2 linked regions of the Elephas maximus indicus genome follow. The protein of the gene in region 1 interacts with the protein of each later gene in a pairwise test. Links are inferred from orthologs where the notes say so. Each region holds a gene or a part of one and is shown on either strand. Other genes may lie near its edges.

Region 1 (7,875 bases):
AATCGGAACATAGAATGTATGAAGTATGAGTCCAGGAAAATTGGAAATCATCAAAACTGAAATGGAATGCATAAACATGGATATCCTGGGCATTAGTGAGCTGAAATGGACTAGTATTGGCCATTATGAATTGAACAATCATATGGTCTATTATGCCAGCAACGACAACTTGAAGAGGAATGGTGTCGCATTCATTGTCAAAAAGACGTATTTCAAGATCTATCCCAAAGCACAACACTGTCAGTGATAGGATAATATCCATACACCTACAAGGAAGACCAGTTAATACAACTATTATTCAAATTTAGGCACCAACCACTAAGGCCAAAGGTAAAGAAATTGAAGATTTTTACCAACTTCTGCAGTCTGAAATTGATCAAACATGCAATCAGGATGCACTGATAAATACTGGTGATTTGGAATGAGAAATCTGGAAAGAAGGATCGGTAGTTGGAAAATATGGCCTTGGTGATAAAAAACAGTGCCGGAGATCCCATAATAGAATTTTGCAAAACTAATGACTTCTTCACTGCAAATACCTTTTTTCACCAACATAAATGGCGATGCTTCACGTGGACCTCACCAGATGGAATACACAGGAGTCAAGTCGACTACATCTGTGGAAAGAAACAATGGAAAAGCTCAACATCATCAGGCAGAACAAGGCAGGGGCCAACTGCGGAACAGACCACCAATTGCTCATATGCAAGTTAAAGTTGAAACTGAAGAAAATTAGAACAAGTCCACGAGAGCGAAAGTACCACCTTGCATATATCCCACCTGAATTTAGAGACCATGTCATTAATAGACTTGATGCATTGAGCCCTAATGACCTAAAAGCAGACACAGGAAGCATCAAAAGAAAATGGAAGGAATACAGAGAGTCACTATGCCAAAAAGAATTGGTCAGTGTTCAACCATTTCAGGATATAGCATATGATCAAGAACCGGTACTGAGATGCACTGAAGGCACTGGAGAAAAACAAGGCTCCAGGAATTGACAGAATGCCATTTGAGATGCTTCAACAAACTGATGCCATGCTGGAAGCGCTAACTCATCTATGCCAAGAAATGTGGAAGATATCTACATTTGTACCCATTTCAAACAAAGGAAATCCAATAGAATGTAGAAATTATCCAACAATATCATCAATATCACACAAGTAAAATTTTGCTAAATATCATTCGAAAGCAGCTGCAGCAGTATATCGACAGGATCTGCCAGAAATTCAAGCCAGATTCAGAAGAGGACGTGGAACAAGGGTTATCACTGCTGATGTCAGATGTATCCTGGCTGAAAGCCGAGAATACCAGAAAGATGTTTACCTGTTTTATTGATTATGCTAAGGCATTCCACTGTGTGGATCATGATAAATTATGGATAACATTGGGAAGAAGGGGAATTCCAGAACATTTAATTGTGCTCATGAGGAATCTATGCTTAGATGAAGAGGCAATTGTTTGAACAGAACAAGGGAATACTGTGTGGTTTAAAGTCAGGAAAGGTGTGCATCAGGGTTGTATCTTTTCACCATACTTTTCAATCTATATCCTGAGCAAACAATCCCAGAAGCAGGGCTATATGAAGAACGGGGCATCAGGACTGGAAGAAAAGTCATTAGCAATTTGCGTTACGCAGATAACACAACAGTGCTTGCTGAAAGTGAAGAGAATTTGAAACACTTATTGGTGAAGATCAAAGACCACAGCCTTCAGTATAGATTTGTAAAAATGGTGTGGGGGCAGTGTCTGACCTTCTCCAACCCAAGGGGGAAGGAGAATCAAGATCAACAGCACAAGGCTGACTCCCATGAGGCAGAGGCCAGACAAGCTTCCTCTCTTTGCCATCTGTACTAATTCTGACATCAACTGTCCCTCACATAGCACTCTTTACTTCTCTGCTGGGCTCGATATTTCACTGCAATGACCACAGAGAACTCAAAGACCATATTTAGGGTTTATTATAAGGGAAGTAACTGTTATACTTCTGGCTCAAGAACACTCAGGATACAGTTCTTTCATCAGGACAGCCTCTTCCCAACCCTGCTCACAGGCACACCTCTCCCTAGCCCTAGGCCTCTCCCCAAAGATAGTCAGCTTTCTCTGTGGGCCAGGAAGCCCAATCCACCTTCTCCTGCTGCCAGGCCTCTCCTGCAACCGCTTCTCACCCTCTTTAGGGTTATAGCTTGCTCTCTCACTCCTTTGGTCTCCTGCTTCCAGGAGCTTCTCAGCACTGGGATCCTGGGTCCAAAGGACGCGTGCTCCACTCCTGGCTGTTCTTCGTTGGTGGTGGTAGGATCCTCCTTTCTGCTCTGGAATTGGCTCTCTTTTAAGTCAAAAATGACCAAGCCCCTTGGAGGGCCACAATTATCTTATCACACAGTCCCACCCAATCACCTGAGTGGGAGTTACAAGACCATGGCTAGAAAGACCACACAGAAAAGTAATTAATCATACGGCAGGATTACACCTCAACATAAAGGAAAAAAAAAATCCTTGCAACTGGACCAATAAGCAACATTATGTTAAATGGAGAAAAGACTGAAGTTGTCAAGAATTTCATTTTACCCAGATTCACAATCAACGCCAGTGGAAGCAGCAGTCAGGGAATCAAACGACACATTTGGGCAAATCTGCTGGAAAAGATCTCTTTAAAGTGTTAAAAAGCAAAGATGTCACTTTAAGGACTAAGGTGTGCCTGACCCAAGCCGTGTTGTTTTTAATCATCTCATATGCATGCGAAAGCTGGAAGATAAGTCAGAAGACCAAAGAAGAATTGACGCCTTTAAGTTATGGCAGATACCACGGACTGCCAAAAGAACAAATAAATGTCTTGGTAAAAGTATAGCCAAAACGGTCATTAAAAGGAAAGATGATGGGACTTCGTCTTACCTACTTTGGACATGTTATCAGGAGGCACCAGTTCATTGAGGAGAACATCATGCTTGTTTAAGTAGAGGGTCAGCAAAAAAGAAGACCCGCAATGAGATGGACTGACACAGTGGAAGTAACAATGGGATCAAACATAGCAACGATTGTGAGGACGGCGCAGGATCCCGTAGTGTTTCATTCTATTGTATGTAGGGTTGACAATATCTAACAACAGATGGTTTTGGAGCCCTGGTGATGCAGTGGTTAAGAACTGTGGCTAACCAAAAGGTTGGTAGTTTGAATCCACCAGCAGCTCCTTGAAAATCTTGAGACAGTTCTATTCTGTCCTATAGGATCGCTATGAGTCAGAATCCACTCCATGGCAACGAGATTGGGTTTATTTGGCTAGCTATTGTTTTATGTTTGACTGTTCAATTGATTGATGGATCCATTCTCAGTCACAGGGAACGATCCCAATCAAGCACTTGATGGAGGTGGGCGCAAGGGAGAGCTTCTTGATGTGAGGGACCGGCGGGCATGAGGCCCTCTCCCCAGGGCCCTCTAGGTGGTGGTCGGGTTCTGTGGCTCTGCGTGGGCGGGGCAGACTTGCACCTGCAACGTGGCCACCTCATGATCCACTGCAGGCTGCCTTCCTCTTGGTCCCTGCAGGGTGCTGCAGGCCAACCCCCAGTCCTGGTCCTCTTGCCTCAGCTTCCACGTCAGCTTGCTCAACCAGAGGGCAGCAACAGCGGGTCACGCCAGCCTGGCCAGCAGGGCTAAGGGGTGCAAGGATGCCGGCCGGGGTCCTCTGGATGCACTCTCGCCAGGCCTGCCCTCGGGGCCAGGTTGACGTACGGGCCTGTGGAGCAGAAGGAGCAGCCCTGATGTCAGGAACATACTCAAATACTGCCTCCAGGACAGTGGCTAGAATTGTATCCCCCGCCCCGGCCCCCAGGGAACTCGGGACCCATCTTCTCTTCCCAGAGATAAAGCTCTGGCACAGCAGACAGTCCGCATCTGCTCCCCTGCCCCTGACCCTATAGCCGGCGGGGGGGTGTGGGGGAGAAGGGGGCCTGCCGGTCGTGATGCGCTGAAGTAGAACGTGCCCATCGACTCCACCGATTGGGCGTCGGCAAGGGGTCCAGAGGCCCCAGGAAGAGGTGGAGACTTGGGCCTGCTGAGGGAACCAGACCAGGACCTGCGGGAGCACCCAGGACGCCGTGGCACAAAACGCAGGCTCCTCAGGGCAGGATCCAGAACGAATGCGCAGGCGTCCGAGCGTGGTTCCGAGGCCCCGCCCGCATTGGTGGGGGCGGGGCCCGCAGGCCGCTGAACACCGCCGTTGGTAGCCGGTTCTGAGTATCTCCCCGTGTGTCTCCGTGTTCTTTTTCATGGAATGTTTCTCTGTACGTCCCTTTTTGTCTCTGGAGTTCTCTACTAAGAAATGGCTGCGACCCCAAGTTCCTGCCTTGGAGCCATCGGTGAAATGAGGACATCTGGCATCAGGTGTTCCCTGTTGTTGTTAGGTGCCGTGGAGTCAGTTCCGACTCACAGCAACCTTATGTACTACAGAAGGAAACACTGCCCGGTGCTGCAGCATTCTCACTGTCACTGCTATGCTTGAGCCCATTGTTCACTAAGGAGTATTAGCAGAGCAGGAACGCCAGCTCTTGGCGCCATGGCACAACACATGCGCACTTACTCCAGCCTCTGTGGGCGGGGCTAGAGGCCCACGCCTGCGCAGCACCAAAGATGCTAAAGGAGCGCGCCCCGCCCGTGTCGTTACACATGCGCAGGACACTGGCTCCTCAACTGACGAATAGCAAGGCCGCAGGCTGCCCTGCCGTTCTCTAAACTGGATTTGTGGACCTGCAAGTTTTACGCATGCGTACTAGCTGCCCGGCAGGGCGCCCGACTTCTTGAGGGCTCAGGCGGGGAACCGTTACACGCCTGTTTCTCTCTTCTTTCCCTCCTCGCGAAGTAACTGCAGGGCGGAAGTGCATTGCGCAGGCGTGTTGCAGGGGGTCGCGCCCCTGGCAAGGTTTGGTCCAATCATCGGCCCAAGCGCCGAAGACGCCAACACCTCCGAGCTGAGAGGAAATGGCGGGAAGGTCGGGGCTTTCGAATGCGGAGCTCGCAGGAGCCATGGACCGGTCTGAAAAAGGCGGAGGTAGTGGCGGGAGGCCGACGAGGGCCTTCTTGGTAGCTGGGTTGGAAAAGACTCGGGGTGCGGGGTCCGAGCGCGCTCCAGCTGGGCGGGTGCGCGGACGCTGGGCCGTTCCATCTTTGGGATGAAAGTGACTGAAAACGATTCTAAGTTTTTTTATTGTAAAAAAACGTTGATCGTTCTTCAAAGAGAAGGGAATAGTTTATATGACTCATTTAACTTGCACTGTATTTTGCTCCTTTGAGTTTTTGCTGAGGCAATTTAAGTAGTTTTCGTGAGAATTTCCGTATGAGTATCTACAAACAAAAAAAATAAAAGGGCTTTTCCCTTGAAGTGCACACCTAAGGGAATCCTCATTTTAACGGCCAGTCCACAGCCAGAGTTCCCTGTTGCCCCAGATGTCCCTACTGTGCCTGGTTTGCTTGGAGACCAGACTGTCTTTCCTTCGGGCAACCAGGGAAAGGAGGGACACGCAGCTTGTTCACATTGTACTAAAATTGAGGAATTGCAGCCCAGCAAGGAGATGAAAAACAGAAAAATCTCCCCAGTGTGTTCTTTGGGAATTTTGAACCGTAGAATGCTGTAGTCAACGCGCTTGTTGATCACTGTCTCGATACTTACCTGCGCCAGTGCCTGCTTGACACATGCGGGTGCTTGGTAGTGTTTTTACAAAATAAATGTTTGAATAATGAAATAAGTTTAGCACAGATAGCTCTCTTAGAGTAGGACTTGACACCCAGTGACAGGCCTAAGGACAAAGAGAAAAATAAACTGGACAGATCTATATATATCCCATTTTTTAAAGCACCTGCTGTGGTCTCCACTCACCATGCCGTAGAAGTCTCTTAGTGTCACGGTATCAAGTTACTCAAATAAGCTAATATATTTAAATAAAGGTTTTTTCAACTTCAACAGCAAAGGAAGAAATTTAAATTTTCAGTCCATCGGATTATTTCAGAAAGGGAAGCAGGGTGATGTCTGATGTCAGTGACCCTGTGGGGACACATGCCTCCCCATACTGAGCTGGTAGGAAGACCAGTGGGTAAAGGTTTTGCAGTAACACATCTGGCAGGATTTTTAACATTTAAATTGATTTTTCCTTTTTCAGTCACCTTCCTAGCGGATCACACAAAACACACAGATTCTGCCCCACTGGTGGTAGCAGAAAATGGGAAAGGAATGGATAAATCAAAGTATACTCATGCACACTGTGAAATACCTGGTGGTGGATTTCTAAAATAAGAAATTTAATTAAAATTAAGTTAAATATTAATTAAAGTTAATTTTTACATTATTGGATATATTTATACTCACAGATGATTGTCAGAGGACATATTTTTATGAAAGAAAAGTAATTGGAAAAATTATGTTTATAAGAGTGCTGTGTGTTGCACAGAAAAATGTTTGGAGGCTGCGTTCTTAATTTATGATTCTGGGGAGTGGATTTTGATTTAGAGGGTGGTGCGGAGGTGAAGGGTCATTTTGAATCATATGGTTTGATTTTTTTATTAAGAAAATGTAGGTAGTACTTGTAGTTTAAAGTCAGGAAAGGTGTGCGTCAGGGTCGTATCCTTTCATCATACCTATTCAATCTGTATGCTGAGCAGATAATCTGAGAAGCTGGACCATATGAAGAAGAACGGGGCATCCGGATTGGAGGAAGATCCATTAACAATCTACGTTATGCAGATGACAACCTTGCTTGCTGAAAGTGAAGAGGACTTGAAGCACTTACTGATGAAGATCAAAGACTACAGCCTTCAGTATGGATTACACCTCAACATAAAACCAAAAACCAAAAAAACCAAACCTGTTGCTGTCGAGTCAATTCTGACTCATAGCGACCCTATAGGACAGAGTAGGACTGCCCCATAGAGTTTCCAGGGAGCACCTGGTGGATTTGAATTGTCAACCTTTTGATTAGCAGACATAGCACTTAACCACTATGCCACCAGGGTTTCCCCTCAACATAAAACAAAAATTCTCACAACTGGGCCAATAAGCGGCATCACGATAAATTGAGAAAAGATTGGAGTTGTCAAGAATTTCATTTTTCTTGGATCCACAGTCGACACCCATGGAAGCAGCAGTGAAGAAATCAAAAGACACATTGCATTTGGCAAATCTGCTAAGAAAGACCTTTTTAAAGTCTTAAAAACAAAGATGTCTTCTTGAAGTCTAAGGTATTCCTGACCCAAACCATGGTGTTTTCAGTTGCCTTATAGGCATATGAAAGCTGGACAACTAATAAAAAAGACTGAAGAAGAATTGACACCTTTCAATTATGGTGTTAATGAAGAATGTTGAACATACCATGGTATGCCAAGAGAATAAACAAATCTGTCTTGGAAGAAGTACAGCCAGAATGCTCCTTAGAAACAGGAATGGCAAGACTACATCTCGCATACTTTGGACATGTTATCAGGAGGGATCAGTCCCTAGAGAAGGATTTTAAGCTTGGTAAAGGGTCAGCGAAAAAGAGAAAGACCCTCGATGAGATGGATTGACACAGTGGTTGCAACAATAGGCTTAAACGTGACAATGATTGTGGGGATGGTGCAGGAACAGCCAGTGTTTTGTTCTCTTGTACATAGGGTCACTGTGAGTCAGAACCAACTTGACAGCACCTAACACCAACAATAACTTGTGGAATACTAAAATGTAAAGGAGAAGGGGGGAATTTTTGAATGCCATTTGAGGAGCAGATGTTAATATCTATCACTGTTAATACCTTGGTTTCAATTGTTGTACCATTGGTTACCACATAGAGAGTACTTCAAAACATCACACTGGAATATTAAGGGGTAGTGGGGCATTACACCTGTAACTTATTCTCA
Region 2 (6,970 bases), on another chromosome or scaffold:
AACATCACACAACAGGGCCTCCAGGGCAGCCAGCGTGAGCATGCACTGTGCCAGCTACAGGGCTGCCTTTTCCTAATGGAAAAGTCTCCCCTTTAAGTTCGTTCCTGCTTCCCCTCCACTGCCCATATCTGCATTAAACCCTCGTGCCTTTTTCTCTAGAGGGTTTAGATGCAGACCTAGCCCACCAGCAAATGTTTATTAGGGTTTGGAGGTTTGTTTTCTCAAAAGGCAATCTTATTGTGTCCCTGAAAACATGTTTGGGGTAGGTCTGTAATTTTAGGAACCTTCCTCCTGCGATCTTAAAAAACCGAGATTGCTAAAGCGAATCGCTTAAGAGAAGATGCCCTTTAACCTCCAGTCGGTGTTACAGATCTGCCGTTGGGGTCACCACAATGACTGGTCCTCCAGCTCTGTGTTTTGTAGACGATAATCCCCTCCGTCTGGGGTTGGCTGCCTGCACCTCCCTCCCCATACTGCGTCCTGCATGGCCAACAGGAGTCAGACCCTCGGAGATACAAGAAGGACTTCCAGAGATGGGCTGCCTGTCTATTGTTTTTTCTAATAGCCAGTGGCTGGGAGAGAAGATAACTGCTTTCACGTTTCCTTTCTCTAAAAGAGAAATAGTTTGATAGTATATTTTGAATATAGATGCTATTACAGTCAGATTGGGAATTGAACTTGAATGTTGACTTACATGTTAGTGTCGTTGCTGTGGTCTTTTGATCATGACTTTTTCCTTTCTTCCTACGTTTCAGTTTTTAAAATATATATATGGCCTTCAAAAATGTGTGTTCTCAATGTTGTATGAACTTACTTAACCTGTGTTTGACTGTTGTCTTTCTTCAAAGACTCTTGGACCTACAAAGAAGCAGGTTAAATGCTCTGAGATCCATTCTCTAACATGCTGCTGTCTGGCCTTTTTAACCTTATCATGATATTTCTGTTAGCTATTGCATTTAACATATCTGTGTGTGTGTGTGTGTGTGTGTGTGTGTGGAGAGAGAAATCTGTAAAGTAAAATTTATATATAATATATGTAATCAAAGGTACATATGTTATATATACGTATGTGGATGTATGACTTATTTTTCCTTATCCACAGAATTCAGCTACCATGTATATATAAATAAACTTATTTTATTAGCCAGAGGATTGTTGTTAATACATTTTGTGTTCTTTTCACTTTAACGTAACTTCCTTAAGGAGTCCCCATATCACCTTGTGCCTAGCTCTATTTTTTTTAATTGGATTTAACAGCAAATTGGGTTTAATGAGTGTGATGAGCTAGTAGGATTAGCAGTCTATCATTTGAGAAAACAAATCCTTTAGAATATGTTTGTGATTTCTCCAAAAGAGAATCCTCTCTCTTAGGTCTTTGGAGACACCGGTGTCAGTTAAGATGGGCCACCTCCTCATCCTACCCCTCCCAGGGCTCTGTGGAGTCATTGTAAACATCTTCAGGATAGAGCAATCTGAAGTTAACCTGGCCACTGAGGGTCACCACTCTGTGGAGAATAACAGTGCCTAAACATATCACCTTTGCCAACAACTTCACCCATATTTTGGACCCTTCATTTAGCCTTGATACATCCTGGAATTCACAAGAATGCAGATCCTTAGGCCAGTCAGTGTCTCCTACATTGCTGTTGGGTACCATCTAGTCGATTCCAACTCATAGTGACCCCATGTGGCAGAGAAGAACTGCCCTATTGGGTTTTCTTGGCTGTAATCTTGATGGGGCAGTGGTGGCACAGTGGTTAAGAGCTACCAGCCAAAAGATCAGCAGTTTGAATCTACTAGCCACTCCTTGGAAACCCTATGGAGCAGTTGTACTCTGTCCTATAGGCTATGAGTTGGAATTGACTCAACAGCAACAGGTTTGGGTTTGGGGGTTTGGGTAATCTTGATAGCAGCATATCAACAAGTCTTTCTCCGGCGAAGCCGCTGGGTGAGTTCGAACCACCACCATTTCCAGTAGCATCCAAGCACTTACCTGTTGTGCCACCAGGGCTCCTTATCACTAACACTACCCAAACAAAAAAAACTAACACTGGGAAGATGTTATTATACACAGGCTTGTCTGTGCCATGACCACATCAGGTGCACCAGAGGTGGCACTCACAGCAAGAAGGCCAAGTCTAAAGAAGGGATACCCCCAGCCTTTGCTTGATCAAGTTGGTTTCTTAATCTGTTAATCAAATAACCAACCTTGATAAAATGCCTTTTATGCCATCTCAGATAGATGAAGAAAGAGAAAAAGGCAGCGGGGGCGGGGGAGCATGGTGTTGTCCTAATGAGCAGCAAAGAAGAGCACACAGGATATTCTTGTAGGTGAGTAAGGTTTTTAACTCCTGTGGGACCTTGCATAGGTACCCTTCTCTAGTGGTGGGAGACAGAGAGGGCCTGGGTCAGTCACTGGACTGGAAGTCAGAAGAGGCAGCTCTGCTCCTTTCTGGAGATGAGACCTTGGGCAAGTCATTGAGCCCTCAGGGCCCTCATAAAATGGGAATACTGGCCAATTGTAGGGCATGTGATGATACTTCTAGAGTTGTGCAGTGCGCCCAAAATGGCGGTACACGTCAACCCTGTACCTACCTCCAAAAACTGAATTGAGAAGTCAATGAAGTAAAGCATGGAACCCATTTACTGGGGTGGGTTCAGTACTCACTAGAAGTTGGTTCCCTTCCCTTTCTCTCACTCACTTCAAGTCTGTTCCCACATTGCAGGGTCTGGGATAAATAATTCAGCTCTGGGTTTTGGTTACCTGGTTTCTCCAGAGTAAGACTTAAGTTCAATGGGTTTAGGTCCAGGTTGTCATGCCCTGGGGCTATTTTCTGGCCCTGGAGAAGTGACAGAAGGGTGATCCACGACAGCATGCCTCGGTGGATGACTACTGAATCCTAACTTGAGTTCCCTTAGACAGCTAACTGGAAAACCACTCTCCTTGTTGTTCTTATTTATTTGTTTTCCAAAAGATGAGGAAACAGGTATGGAAAACATCCGTAGCATAATAAGTATCCAATATGTGTGGGACCCAGATTTGCTCAAGGTCCCTTATCTCGTGCGTCAGGCCAGCGTGTGGAACGCAAGGTCCAGAGAAGTGAGGTAGCTTGCAGCTGATGGACAGCAGAGCTAGAGCCCATCTACCTTGACGGACCCTCCACACCCCAGGCTCTCTCTGAGGACACCTCCCCATCCCTGAAAGACACAGAGACAAGAATGCCCACCCTGCCCCCAGGAAGGGGGCTATAGGGCAGAGGTAAGAAGAGAAGATAGAGGTAGGGAGGGACATGAAGCTGCTGCTATGATTGAGGGGGGTGAAGGAAGCAACAAGCTGGCTTGGTTTCTCTTGAGCCCCCAGGACTGCCTCCCCCCATGCTGGCCTTCATCCACTTTCATCCTCTATTACCTGTTGACACATGTGCACATTCAGACCAGCAGCACAAACAGGCACTGAAATGAGGCCTGGAACACCTGGATGAAGCTTTGGCTAAACCACTCGCTAATGAGCTAAGGTCTCTTGTACCTCAGTTTATTTATCTGTGAAATGGGGCTGCTTGAGACCTGCCTTGCCCTCTCTTAGATAGTGAAAGCCTGTCAACACATGTGGCCCAATTACATGAACCCCCCGATGAACCACCCCCACAGCCTGCACTGATATAGCCTCCCCGCCCCCACACCAGCTAAACAAGCTAGGAGGTTGGGCACGTGGTCCTGCAGAGAATGCCTGAGTGCCTGTCTGCAGCAGCCCTGGGCAGGGCCTGTCTCAGCGAATTATGGAAACTCATGGAAGTAGCAAACAAAGCAGCCTGGGGGCGGGGGAGCTTCCAGAGAGGTCTGTGACCAGGCCACTGGGACTGGACTCCAAAAGCCACTGGACTGTGTAAACCCACAGAGACAGAAGGGGTGATGAGCGAGAGGCGAGTGGTGGTGGACGCACCCACCGGTGCCAGCTTCAGCATGTCCCTCCACAGGCGCAGGGCGTCCTTCAGGGGGACTCAGTCATCATCTCCCCTGGAGAGCGCCCTGGGCTCCAGGGCCAATGTTGGGGGTAGCCTGGTCCAATCACCTCTGATCTATATAGGCACAACACCCACCGGGTACATAGGTGGCCAGGGTGCCCACGTGACCTGCCGAGCCCTGGGCATCAGCAGTGTCTTCCTACAGGGCCTTCGGAGCTCAGGCCTGCCCTCTGTGCCTGCTCCTGGCCTGGAGGGGGACCACGATGCTGCTGAGGACTTGGGGGGCTGCTTGGTGGAATACACGGCCAAGGTACGTGCCCTGGAGCAGGTCATCCGGGAGCTGGAAAGGCAACTGCGGACGCACCTGGAGAGCAAGGCTGCGGGCTCGGGAAGCTGGGGTGCCCTCAGGGCCTCCTGGACCAGCAGCTGCCAGCAGGTGAGTGCCTGGGCCGGGCCACCTCTGCAGAGGGCCTGGAGGGAACAATGAAGGCTGCCTGTTGTACCATCTCTGGGGTCATTATCAGAGAGTCCGAGGGCTGGGGTAGGGGACAGGGGAGTGAGTGATCCAAGGCCCAGAAACTGACCGCAGACCTTTACCCTTCCGTGCTAAAAAATACTACTAATGATAATAATAACAACAACAGTGACAGTGGCTACTATTTACCGAGGTTCACTAGGGGCCAGGCCCACACTCGTTCCTGTATGCACGCTCTCTCCTATAATGTTCACAGTGTAGGCAGTGGCTCCATCATGGATTTCATCTTTCAGATGAGAAAACCAAAATCACAGAAGTTAAGAAACGTGCCCACGATCACACAGCTAATTGGGAGTTGAACCTGACATTTGAACCTGAAATTTTCCATCTTCAAAGCTTGCACTTGTCCCATTACCCTGGGCCGCCTGTGTCAGCCTTTATTGTTGTTACGTGCCATCGAGTGGATTCCAGCCATCATCAAATTCAATACCGCTGAATGGATGTGGTACTAAAAACGATGAGAAAATGGAAGCGTGTTCCTCTATCCACCCATAACAAAACTGTCCAAAAGAAATGTAACATGAGCCACGGAGGTAATTTCCAGGTTTCTATTAACCACCACAGTAAAAAAAAAAAAAAGGGAAAAAGAAACAGGTGAAATTAATTTAACATTATATGTTATTTAACGCAACATATATTTTTTTTTATCCAAGATGTTATCATTTCAATACGTAAAAAAAAAAAAAGCTTTCTATTTTAGTACCTTTGACGGGCCACCACCTGTCTGTCAGTTTGTTGTACCGCGGTGGCTTGCATACTGCTATGATGCTGGAAGCTGTGCCACTGCTATTTCAAATACCAGCAGGGTCACCCACAGTGGACAGGTTTCAGTGGGGCTTCCAGACTAAAAGGGACTAGGAAGAAAGCCTGGTGATTTACTTCCGAAAGTTAGCGAGGCAAACCTGATGGATCACAACAGTACGTTGCCCAACTCGCTTTCTGTGGACATCCGGAGGGCTCAGTCACTGGAGGAGGATGTCATGTTTGGTGAAGTACAGGGCCACTGAGGGTGTGGGAGACCCTCAGTGAGATGTATTGGCACAGCACCCATAACAATGGGCTCGAACATAGTGGAGATTGTGAGAATGTCGCAGGACCAGGCAATGTTTGGTTCTGTTTTCCATAAGGTCACCATGAGTCAGAGTTGGCTCATTGGCAGCCAACAACAACTTTTAATGGCACTTTTTTACCACTTTTTGAGCAAGAGGTCCCATGTTTTCATTTCACAGCGGGACCCACACATTACATGGACCATCCTTGTTACAGGGTTACTGTATTATGAAGTTCCTTTCCATTTCCCAGCCTCTCTCTTCTGGCTCCCAGGCTGTGTCCCACCCTCCCAGCCACTTCTCTTGCTAAACACGGAAGCAGACTGAAAACCCCCAGGCACTGGGCAAAGAGTCTGAGGGGGACCCCCCGGCTCCTGCACACTTCTCAAGGAGTGTTTCCCTCTCGGCCTTGCCAGGGGCTCCAGACTCTTCTTGCCACGTAAAGGATGTTGATAATCACCTCTGGCGGGAACATCAGGCCCTTTTCATCGTCAAATAGGCCAAACACAGGCTTGGAATTTGGCAACCACCCTGTCTGCCTCAGAGCTGCAGATAAAAGGAGAGGGGACGGAGAAAGGAGCAGGAAGGAGCTGAGGCCAGGGTAAGGGGGACGCTGGCTGGGGAAGAAGGGAGGAAGTGTGGGCCTTTAAATTGTCACCACTCTGTTATGGAGCCACGGAAATTAGGGGTCTCCCCTGGAGAAAACGTCAGCTTATACCTCCAGTGGCAAAGGCTGGCAGCTGGAGGAGAAGGGGAAATGAATATTATAAAAAGTTAAGAAGATTAGAATTTAAAACAGGCCTGATCTGAATATTTTTCCTGCTGCTCACAGTCCCTGTTTCTGCCCCTTGCAGAGAGACAGCCCCTGCTCTGGGGGTCTGCCTATCTGGAGAAGATGCTGGAAACTTAGGTAGTCTAAGTCAGGGCCAAGTTTCTCTCCCCACAGAACCCGTGGCCCTAGGAGCTTTTTTTTTTTTTTCTTTTAAAAAAGAAGAAACAAGAACAGTTCCTCTGCTGAGTGAAAAAAGAAAGGCAACAGGATCATTGTTCATGATTCAAGACCTGGTGTCCCTGAAAGGGGAGAGGGACTTGAGCTATTTTTAGCATGTGTACTCCCTGAATTAAATAATACATTGACCCAAGACAAAGCCACCCAGCCTGTTTGGTCAGAGCAGGTCACTCTGTTAGCCAAGCTATAAGGGACACTGCAGTATCATTAAAATATAACTACCAGGAGAAAAATATATTTAGGAGAGTTTCAATTGGGGAGAGTGATATGTAAGACTTCAAGAAATATTTTGACAGGCCAGGGGAGGGGGCAGGGGCATGAGATCACAACCAAGGAGGTTGGTCAAGTAATATTAAAAAAAAAAAAAAAAAAAAACCCATTGCCTCCTGGCTGATTCTGACTCAGGGCAGCTCCA

What was found.
Region 2: the proteins of SYCE1 (region 1) and BFSP2 interact in binary tests that used the Homo sapiens proteins (3 or more experiments, as listed by UniProt). The two-hybrid records come from large-scale screens. The link is inferred for Elephas maximus indicus from reciprocal best matches to the Homo sapiens genes SYCE1 and BFSP2.

The regions. Positions count from the first base shown.
Region 1 is NC_064834.1:83,296,337-83,304,211, forward strand, and holds the start of SYCE1 (synaptonemal complex central element protein 1), read left to right. Parts: upstream 1-4,817; 5' UTR 4,818-4,971; coding exon 4,972-5,041; intron 5,042-7,875. UniProt on the Homo sapiens protein: Major component of the transverse central element of synaptonemal complexes (SCS), formed between homologous chromosomes during meiotic prophase. Requires SYCP1 in order to be incorporated into the central element.
Region 2 is NC_064844.1:46,439,244-46,446,213, reverse strand, and holds the start of BFSP2 (phakinin), read left to right. Parts: upstream 1-3,909; coding exon 3,910-4,398; intron 4,399-6,970.